Nothobranchius furzeri: one gene and its partner. The protein of the gene in region 1 purifies or fractionates together with the protein of each later gene. This does not show direct contact. Links are inferred from orthologs where the notes say so. Each region holds a gene or a part of one and is shown on either strand. Other genes may lie near its edges.

Region 1 (5,288 bases):
CGAATCTGGGCATTGTTGAACCATACGATCAGCGACCTGCTGCATGTGTTTCAGCAGGTCACAGTGCTCTTCACGCAACGCCTTCAAACTGGGAATCGACTGCCATGGAAGGACTAGCCAGTGGTAGCGGGCTTTGGGGTATTTGTCTGTAATGACAACTACTCGGTCATCCTTGTAAACCTGGAAAATTGAGACAAAGTTATGCGAGTTTAAGAATGTTTAAAGAGCAAGTCACCCCCAAATCAACGTTTTTTTGCTGATAAACTATATAAATGTGTGTCTAATTGTGCTGCAGACATGTGTGGTCAATAATTTGGTACTTCAGTGCATTTTAGTTAAAATTTAAATATTCTGCCTAAAACTGTCAGTGTTGCACCGTCGTCGGGTAAAAACTCTGCACTGCATTGGAATTTAAATCTGCCGTGGCTATTGGCTAAGAGGTATGCTATGATGTAAACTGGTACATTATGATGTCACAATGCCGTTGTGAGCCTGTGTGTGTGTATTTGTTAGCGGCTCCGCCCTCTCTGTCTGCTAGGCAACAGCATTTGTTGCATTTTTCAAACAGGAAGTGAGAGTTGATTAAGAATCTGGTAGGGGTGACTTGCTCTTTAAGAAAACGCAGTCGTCCATATTGCAGTACCTGTATACCTGCATACTGGGGTCTTGCATTGAAGTCTTCAGGCCTTGGCTCCAATGTCCAACACTTACCTACGGCAAATATCAGAAAACAACATTTATCTGCATGAAATAAAATGACCACCAACAATACAGGTGGTCCAAAAATGATCAAATAAACAATAAAACAAGAAAGAAACACATATCTCTCTTCTCACATTTGTTTTTGTAGCTTCTACAGGACTGCCTGACACGGCATCCTTTTCTGTGTGTATTGTTGCTTTCATAGTCAGAGTGCTTTTCTGTTTTTCTCCATCCTCTTCTGTAGGCTCTCTTGGTCTTCTGTCTCTCTTGTCGTTTCCAGTGAGATCTTCTTTGAACTGGACAGTGTATGGGTAAAGCTGATTGACAACGTGAAGATGCTGTCCAGGCTTCATTTTCACCTCGTTGCCCTTTCCCACCACCGCAGAGTCCACAGAGGTGGGGTTTAAACCCAGCTTTGGAGCCATTCATAGACAAGTTTAAATACAGATTATTACAGAGAGCAGACCTGCTAAACACACAGCAAGCATATTCAAAGAATACTGTCAAGACTGAGACTTTAACAACAAACATCATCATATAATTATTAATTGTGCTTCTGTTGCTGATAAATTAGTAATCCAAACTCTCTCACCTGTTTAACTTTCACATAACCTTTGTTGCATTCAGCTTTCAGCTCAACTGGTTGGGAAGGATAATAGTTAAACAGGTTAAAGGATTTTTATTTTCACAAAGCTAATTAGTGACAAATTTAAATAAAAAATAAATAAAATTAAATTGGGGGAACAGGATGTCATTTTTAGATATTTGAGCACGCTGTTACTCAGATCTTTTGGTCTTCTTCAGTGCCATAACTTTAGTTACCAATTACAGCGTAAAAATTAGAATATATAATTCAAGAAAAATTAAGTGGCTAAATATGCAATGTATTTATATACACCTGGAAAATCCTAAAAGTAAATTGATGTTTTCACATTACAATATATGATCACGTACTCCTGCAATGAAAAGTTTTGTTTTGAAAAGGATAATTATAATTAAACTTGAAAGGTTGAGGAAAATTTATGAAATTGCATAAAGAAAAAGTTAAAATAAACCAGAAGTAGAATAGTTCAGGAATGGTCTGAGGACGCCTGCTGTGCTTCTGAAGCTGACCGTATTTGTTACGTTTTTATCATAATGGCCTCTGAATGTGATTTAGAAAGAAAACTATGTAAATGGTGCATTTTTACATGATGTGCTGTCTTTGAGTTGCTTTAATGGCAGAGCGCCAGCTGAATTATTTTAGTCCTTCAAAATAAAAGTCTAAAAATACGCAGGTCTTTTAAAAACCTAATTTGATTCTAATTATCCTTAGAAGGAAAGAAACTTGAACGAATTAAGTACAAAAACAATGTAAAAAAAAACTACTACACGCGTGTTACGCATTACAAATGAGGCGCAGCGACAATAGAGAAATTACCTTGTTGCCTGGAGCATTTTTTGTCTTTGATAGTCGTTTCTGGGCCTCGACCCAACACGACTGTCTGTAAATGCGGCAGCTGGATGGGTCTGTGAGTTCCTTTCTTACTGATAAGCCAGCAAATTGGCATTTTATCAGTCATTTAGCGTTCTCCGGCGGCGAGCAAATATGACGTAACCACCACATCTACCGGAAATGCGTCATCAAGATTACTATCACAAATGTTACTCAGCAAAAGAAAAGCGAATTTTACGTTTTTGTCAGAGCTTTATTTTTTAGAACATTTCGTAGCGTAATAACCATAGTTTTTTTTACTGTTCAAATGTGTTTTTCTAAATAAGAACGCCTTCAAAATGAACTTCTCTAAAGCCCGACTATCATCTAAGGGGGCAAAACATCCGGGATGAATGGAGAAAGTGACTGGAACAGCATGGAAAATTTAAAAAGAACGACAACAAATTAACCAAGACTATACATTTATTTCATCATTTCAGTTTAGACACAGCAGCCCTCTAAGTGTTATTTGTGTGGTTGTTATGTTTTTTTAGTTGTTTGTTTCCTTATCCTGTATTTTCCAGTGCTTAAATATATAAATTGCAACATGTCAACATGACATATTCCCCTTTTCTCCAATTAACACATAATCAGTTTTTATTTAAGCAGGTTGGACCAAACAATCTTTTCTATTTCTATTTCTCATCTAAGAACAGCACTGACATTTCTAGCAGAGGCAACCTCAGCAAGAAAACTGACATATTCATTACTATCATTCAAATCAGGAATCAGGTGCAGGCTAATGTTTTCAATTTAACGTTAATATTAAAAAGTCTGAACTTTTCGGTATTTGTTTTTTTTAGCATTAAATTAAACTCAGGATCCTACAACCGTTTTAATTTAGGATTTAGTACTTTAGTAGGATAAACTAGCCTACCGCGTTTATAAGGTAAATTGAGCAGCGCAAGAGATGTAAATTTTAAAGTAAACTGACTTTTTCCACTTCTGCAGAAAAAAATTGCAAAACAGTCCATTGCATTGCATCGCCATTCTTTCTGTGCGTGCGCTTGTTTTCTTCATCGGTTTTGGCTAAAGGGGGTGTTGCCACACGGTTTCGTCGCCAAAAAGTGACGTAACGGGGCGAAACGTTTGGACGCAGCACGGGACACGGGTGAAGATTCTAGAAGACAGTCGATGTGCGGTTTGGCCTTGAAAGGGTCTTAGTTGTCTTCATATAAGGTTGGAAATTAGCTATTTTCAAGTCATATTTTGTATATACCGGTCTCAGGTCAAATTTTTTGCTAACAAATAGAGGAAAACAACATTGATAGCGTTGGATTTTTAATGTGGTGTTGTACCGAGAAAAATACCCCTGTAATCAAGCCTCTTCTCGCGATGGTCATCTCTGCTTTATTCACCATTTTTAATAAATTGTGTTGAAGTCAAAGATGATTTAAAAAAAAAGGTAACTCGTGGTTTTATTTGCTTAAATTTTACAATTAGTTACCAAGACTTGATTTTAGCCACCAAATCAACACCGTTTTCTCCTATATACTGTACTGATGCGTGATAGATACATTTCTGTTACATCAAAACATTTGTTTATAATATTATTGTAAAGTGCTGATGAACAGAGCTATTTTCTTTTTCAGTTTTTAACGGGCTAGTGATGTGTCGGTTTTTCAACGGAAGCAACTGCTACCCGTAACGAAATGCGCATTATGACAGGGTAACTTTTTTCGCCACAACACCAGTTCCACTAGCTAAAGCAGCTACATGGGGCCTTATCGTTTCTTTTTTGTGTAAACTGGAAGCCATACGGTCATATAAACGTTTATGAAAATAAGACACTTAAATGTTTTCAGACAATAGACGAAGACAAATTATGTTTCTTCTGTTTGTTTTCTGTTAACTCCTACCTAAAAATACTGAGTGATATAAACACCTCGCGACGTAAACGGGAAACTTCTGCTCTCACTGGCTAATTAAAGTTAAATAGCAAAACTAAGATTTGTATTCTTATATTAACTTGAATAACGTGTTCTGGTAAGATTGTAAGTCTTTTGTCATTACTAATTATTATATTAATTCAAGTACAGGTTAAATAGTTAGTTAAATGCATTTGCATTAAAATAACATATTTCACAATCTTGCAAGAAAATCTAATTCTTTACACTATTAACTTACGTGCGTCTTCGTTAGGTATGTTTGTGAAGGTGTTAATGTAAGTTTTTTTGTAGTAAATGTCAAATTTATTACAACTGATTCTACTTTTAATTGAACAGAAACATCTGTCAAAGTCAAACATGGTTAAGGAAACAGGCTTTTACGACACACTTGGTGTGAAGCCAAATGCAACCCCAGACGAACTGAAAAAGGCCTACCGCAAGCTAGCCTTGAAATATCATCCAGACAAAAATCCTACTGAGGGAGAGAAGGTAAGTGTTTTGTTTTTGTTTCATCACAAACAATAACAAATGTGTTTAAGCTTTTTTTTTTCTCTCTGAAGTTCAAGCAGATATCACAGGCCTATGAGGTTTTATCAGATGCCAAGAAGAGAGATCTATATGACCGTGGAGGAGAAAAAGCAATAAAGGAAGGAGGAACTGGAGGTGGTGGCGGTGGTGGTAGCTTTGCATCCCCCATGGATATATTTGACTTATTTTTTGGTGGAGGTAGTCGGATGCACAGAGAGCGAAAAGGTTGGTAAAAAGCTGATTTTCACATAGGAACATAGACATTTTTGTGAGACAGTTTTGTTTTTCCTTCTGACATGCTACATGACTCGTATACATGAGTCATCATTTCTGCAAGGAGGCACAGTTGCTAGCTCTGTTGTTTTGCAGCAAGAAGGTCGCAGGTTCAAAATCTGGCTTGGGCCTTTCTGCGTGGAGTTTGCATGTTCTCCCCATGCATGTGTAGGTGTCCTCTGGGCACTCGAGTTTTCTCCCACAGGACAAAAACATCCATGTTAGGGTATTTAACTGTGTTGCTGTTAGGGCTGAGCCATATCATACCTTTCACAGTAATACCGGTACAATGTTGGGCAATGATAAGAAAATGAAATATCGCGATAAGATAGAATGGGTAAAACGCGCTTGCGCAGTGCCTTTGTTTTCATACGCACATGGCGGAAAAAGCATGGCAACGAGGGAGGAGAAGGGCTAAAGCG
Region 2 (5,007 bases), on another chromosome or scaffold:
GTGGCCGTGGAGCGCTACGTCGCCATCTTCATGCCCTTCCGTTACTGCGTCCTGATGACGCCTCGCAACGCCGTCCTGGTGATCTTCGCCACGTGGCTGCTGGCCTTCCTCATCGGCCTCGTGCCCCTGATGGGCTGGCACAAAACGCCGCCCGATTCCGGCAACTGTGTCTTCGTCCTGGTGGTGGACATGACCTACATGGTGTATTTCAACTTCTTTGCATGCGTGCTCACGCCGCTGCTCGCCATGTTCCTAATCTATGCTCGGATCTTCATTGCGGTCAAGCAGCAGATGCGACGCATCGGGCCAGAGCAGGGCGGCCGAGGGGCGGCGCGTCAAACCAGAGCCGCAGCTAGCATGCGCCGGGAGATAAAGATGGTGACGTCTCTCTTCCTCATTCTGTTTCTCTTCACGGTCTGCTGGATCCCGCTTCATGTCATCAACTGCTTCCTGCTGCTCTGCCCTCGCTGCTCCGTGCCGCTGGAGCTGCTGCTCACCGCCATCATCCTGTCACACGCAAACTCCACCATCAACCCCTTCCTATACGCGTACACCATGACGGCTTTCAGGGACACGTTTAAGGACATTTTCTTGTGCTGCAGGACGATGAGCAGCAGGAATAACATCGCTGAGGAAACAAATCTCTAAACTAAACGTTTGTCATCTCACCCCTCAGATTTGACAGCAGGGAGCCTCTTCTTAAGATCGTTCTTGTCTTCGGCGCGCAGCGCGTCGAATCCCTTCAGCTGGGCGGCGGAATAATCGGGCTTAAACACCAGTTCCTCCCTGCGGCTCACGAAGCACGCCGTGTGGTACCAGCGGTCGATCAGACCCAGCTGAGGTTTCTCTGGGTCAACCGTTTTCTTGGAAACACGAATCTGATCCTGAAAGAGAAGCAAAAATACGGCAGACATGTGAAGTATTTATGACACGTGTTCAACGGTTATTGATTAAGACATTTCCTGTGCTGCGGACCTTTTCTATTTTTTGCTCGCAGCCTTTGCACGTGCTGCGGTTCGACTTGGCGTACTCCACGGCAAAGTTATTCAGAGTTTTGGCCCCTTGAGCGGCACCTTTTGAATCACTTTTCCCTGCAAGATGCAAAGGAAAATAAGTCTAAACATTTAAAAAAAATATGCATTAATAGTAAATGATAAATTAAAAACATTTAGAACAACTTGAGAAATGGCACTCTTTTGACTTTTTATGGATCACTTCACTTTTTTATCTGGCTAATAAGACAAAGTTAAACCAATTGAAAGTAGCTATCTTAAGCTCTTTTGCTTACGATCCAATCCAATTTTATTTATAAAGCGCATTCACAAGGCATTACAACCAAACAAGGCGCTGAACACAATAATTAAAGATCTACCACCGACCTGCTCCGACAGCTCCTCCAGTCTCAATAGCCTTTTTGACTTTTTGCTGGTCCTCCCAGCGAAGAGTGGAGAACCCGGCGATGTCTGCTTCAGTCTGAGCTGCCGCTCGCTGCCAGAAGCAGGAGAAGTGGTGCCAGTGTGGGACTTTCCCATCGAACATCGGGGACTGGAGGACAAAAACAAGACAATGAAGCAACAGCAAATATCAGAAAAAAAAGATGAAAAAAAAAAACAAAACCATTAAAGTGAGAATAAAGGTTTTTCTGTTTGAATTTTTCTGGTTTCTGAATTTGAATGTTGTTTTGTTGTTGGATTTCTGTGCTAGTCATGGATTGTTGTCGTTTCGTCTGACCTGCGGCCGCGTGTCTTGGACACTCGGGTGAAGAGAGGGGCGGAGCAGGCAACTGACAACTACCTGGTGGTGAGTTGGCTCAGATGGTGGGGGAGGATACCGGTCAGACCAGGCAGGCCCAAACGTATCGCGAGGGTCTGCTGGGAACGTCTGGCAGAGTCTCCTGTCAGAAGGAGCTTCAATTCCCACCTCCGACAGAACTTCCAAAATGTTCCGGGGGAGGCGGGGGACATCGAGTCTGAATGCACTCTTTTCCGTGCCTCTTTTGTTGAGGCGGCCGACCGGAGCTGTGGTCGCAGGATCGTTGGTGCCTGTCGTGGTGGCAACCCCCGAACCCGCTTGTGGACACCGGCGGTTAGGGATGCCGTCAAGCTGAAGAAAGAGTCCTAACAGGTCTTTTTGGCCTGTGGGACTCCAGAGGCAGCTGACGGGAACCCGCAGTCCTGCCTGGTGAGGTTTTCTGGGCACGTCCAACCAGGAGGAGCCCTTAAGGTAAACCCCGGACACGGTGGAGGGACTATGTCTCTCACCTGGCCAGGGAACGCCTTGGGATTTCACCAGAGAAGCTGGCCCAAGTGGCTGGGGAGAGGGAAGTCTGGGCCTCTTGACTTCGGCTACTGGCTACTACCCATCTCCGGATAAGCGGATGAAAATGGATGGATGGAATTTTTCTGGTTTTACATGACAAACGTTTTTTGTGCATTAAAAAAATTCAGATTTTACTCACGTTAAAAATAAAATCATGAATTTGTAAACAAGGGTTTTCACAATTTTGTCTTTAAAACTACAGATAATAATTCTGACTTACTTATTTAAACAAGTATAACAAATAAACATATTCACAAGAATGTCAATGTTTCATGCAGCCAGAACTAAAAAAAAATTGACATATTTTGCAGAAAATACACAACACACGGTTGGGTTTTCCAACAATAAAAACAAAAAGGAACCACTGACCTGATAATATGCATTACTGTAACTATTAAGACGTTACAAAAGAAATACTATATAGACTATATTTTGTGGCTGAAACTTTAAATGTGTGCAAGTGGTAATGAATTTTCCTTCCTTTTGCAGGGGTGAGTGCTGATCTGGACCCACAGACTGACCAATAAGCAGGAGTTTGACTCTTACATGATTATTTCTCTATTGCACAGACTGGAACAGCTGCTTGTGTGATTTTTTTTATCTATGTCTCTTGAGTGGAGGAGAGGATGGAGCAGTTGTATTCTGCAGCACACTGGATGGGTCTCAGACATTGTCCTAAGTCCCTCTGAGGCGATCCAGGCGGCTCTTTGTGAGCCAGATTCATTCAGTCAGCCATTTAAATGCTAACCGGGGGCCTCACTTAGCACAACTCAAACTCCTTTATAAACTACACTAGATTAGTTTAAAGTCTGATTATTATGGTTCTCTATATGCGCACATATGATTTAGATATCAGCACGGTTATAAAAGGCTTCATAACAGAATGGTTCCTTGGTTAAATCCCTCCAGACGTCGCTACCTCCTCACCTGCACCATGAGGGCCATCCTCAGCGAGTCCTTAGCTATGCTCTCTTTGCATTTCTTGCACGAAGCCCGGCCGCTTTTCGCGTATTCCGCCTTGTAGAGCTTGTCATCTTGGGAGTCCGCCATTGTTCCTTAATGTTGCAAACAAGCAAACAAAGCGACGTGATGAAGAGGGCAACTTTCTCCGATGCACTCTCGGAGCCACCACAACAATCACAGGCAGAGCGGCGGCTGCAGCCCGCGTGCTACTTGGAGAGGAAGCTCACGAGACGAGGTCTCACTCTGACTCCGATTTACAATCCACGTAAGTTTTAACTTTGTTTTAATGTACTTTGTGGTATATTACGTTTTAGTTTGTTTACGTTATGATTCGAGACATTATGATGATTCGTTTGGCCATTTTAAACTTCTGTGTGGTCCCCACCTGTTTGTATTTTTCTCTAATGTACCGAAAAAAATCAGGGTTGAGTTGTTACACTGTAACCACATAACAACTTTGTTTATTCTTAACGGTTCATAAAAGAGAGAAACATTTGGCCACTCTAACCCAGAGCTAGAGTAGCTCTGCCCTAACCTAAATCTCTGACGCACTGTGATTTTTATCTTGAAAGGCGCTACACACATTAACTTTTCTTCTTCTACCAAGTGGGGCATCTTAAGAGCAATATAGGATCAGTGAACTGGTTCGCAGAATTCCCGCGCGAGTTTCAGCCAGAACTAATGGAGCACAGATCAATCAGATTTTTACAAAACTAAACATGAAATTCTACATGAAGCAAAACTATTAAGTATGTTAATTATAAATATATTTACAATAGTTGCATTTGTTTATAGTTGATCACTGAGAACTAATGCGCAAACAAACAATTCCAAAGAATAGTTCTGCTTTAAGATTTTTATTTGCACAATTCACATTGAAAGTTTATGTAAAAAATAAACATACAAAATGTAAATACAATATGTGTTCATCAAATGAACTTCAGTCTTTTGAAAACAAAATTTTTAAAAACTATGACCTGATTATAAGGGCCTAGATAACAATTTGGGTTCAATAACGACAATAATAATACACTGATGGAGACTTTCATTTACTCGTCTTTACAATAATTTTTCACATAGTCATTAATTAGTAAAATTATTTCTAAAAAATCTTTGGGCTTACTAATAAATATAAAAACATCTTTAACTGTAAACAAAATTGGTGGAAAATAACTCACTAAAAACGTCAACCAGGGCTTTACAGGCCACTGAGTAAAATTCTAAGAGGTATTGTGTGTTTTGGCGTAGAGGTCTCACCTCTTGCTAGCACATTTTCTAAGCAAGCAAGAAAATGTGTTGGCTTTTCTTTAACTGGACAAAATAGCATAAACAACAACTGAAAACAGAGATTTCAGATGATGAAGTTAACCTATATTATGATGCTATAAATAGTTAATTTCCAAAGTAAGGTTTAGATGAGAAATCATAGATGATTTCACCCAAGACGGTCTCAACTCATTTAGTTTTATAGTGACAGGATGGATCAGAAGGAAAAAGGAGTTTGGCAAGACTTGATCCAACTAGCAAACCTTGAAATACATTCATGGAATGTGTCTTCTTCTTTGTGCATTGCTCAGCAAAGCAGCTTACTGGGAGTCAAAGTGAAATTCCCATTGGACTCTCTCATCCTCTCTTTGTGTCTGGCCTGGACAAGACCAAATACCACTTCTGCTAGAGTCATGCGTCCTGCTGTGCGGCCACCTGGGCGCCCATCTGTTCCGATGT

What was found. The genes of interacting proteins can lie anywhere in the genome.
Region 2: the proteins of aptx (region 1) and parp1 purify together in Homo sapiens (co-immunoprecipitation; 3 studies listed by BioGRID and IntAct, with this or other methods). This does not show direct contact. The link is inferred for Nothobranchius furzeri from reciprocal best matches to the Homo sapiens genes APTX and PARP1.

The regions. Positions count from the first base shown.
Region 1 is NC_091746.1:79,993,806-79,999,093, forward strand, and holds the start of aptx (aprataxin), read right to left. Parts: upstream 3,049-5,288; 5' UTR 2,265-3,048; coding exon 2,123-2,264; intron 1,342-2,122; coding exon 1,295-1,341; intron 1,172-1,294; exon of another isoform or gene 1,132-1,171; coding exon of another isoform or gene 1,116-1,131; coding exon 837-1,115; intron 712-836; coding exon 652-711; coding exon of another isoform or gene 644-651; intron 181-643; coding exon 1-180. UniProt on the Homo sapiens protein: DNA-binding protein involved in single-strand DNA break repair, double-strand DNA break repair and base excision repair.
Region 2 is NC_091742.1:4,979,431-4,984,437, reverse strand, and holds the start of parp1 (poly [ADP-ribose] polymerase 1), read right to left. Parts: upstream 3,494-5,007; 5' UTR 3,370-3,493; coding exon 3,247-3,369; intron 1,546-3,246; coding exon 1,380-1,545; intron 1,092-1,379; coding exon 976-1,091; intron 885-975; coding exon 670-884; intron 664-669; exon of another isoform or gene 649-663; coding exon of another isoform or gene 1-648. Other genes in the region: adorb1a (adenosine A2c receptor), read left to right, coding at 1-648; si:dkey-206f10.1 (adenylate cyclase type 8), read right to left, coding at 4,856-5,007. UniProt on the Homo sapiens protein: Poly-ADP-ribosyltransferase that mediates poly-ADP-ribosylation of proteins and plays a key role in DNA repair.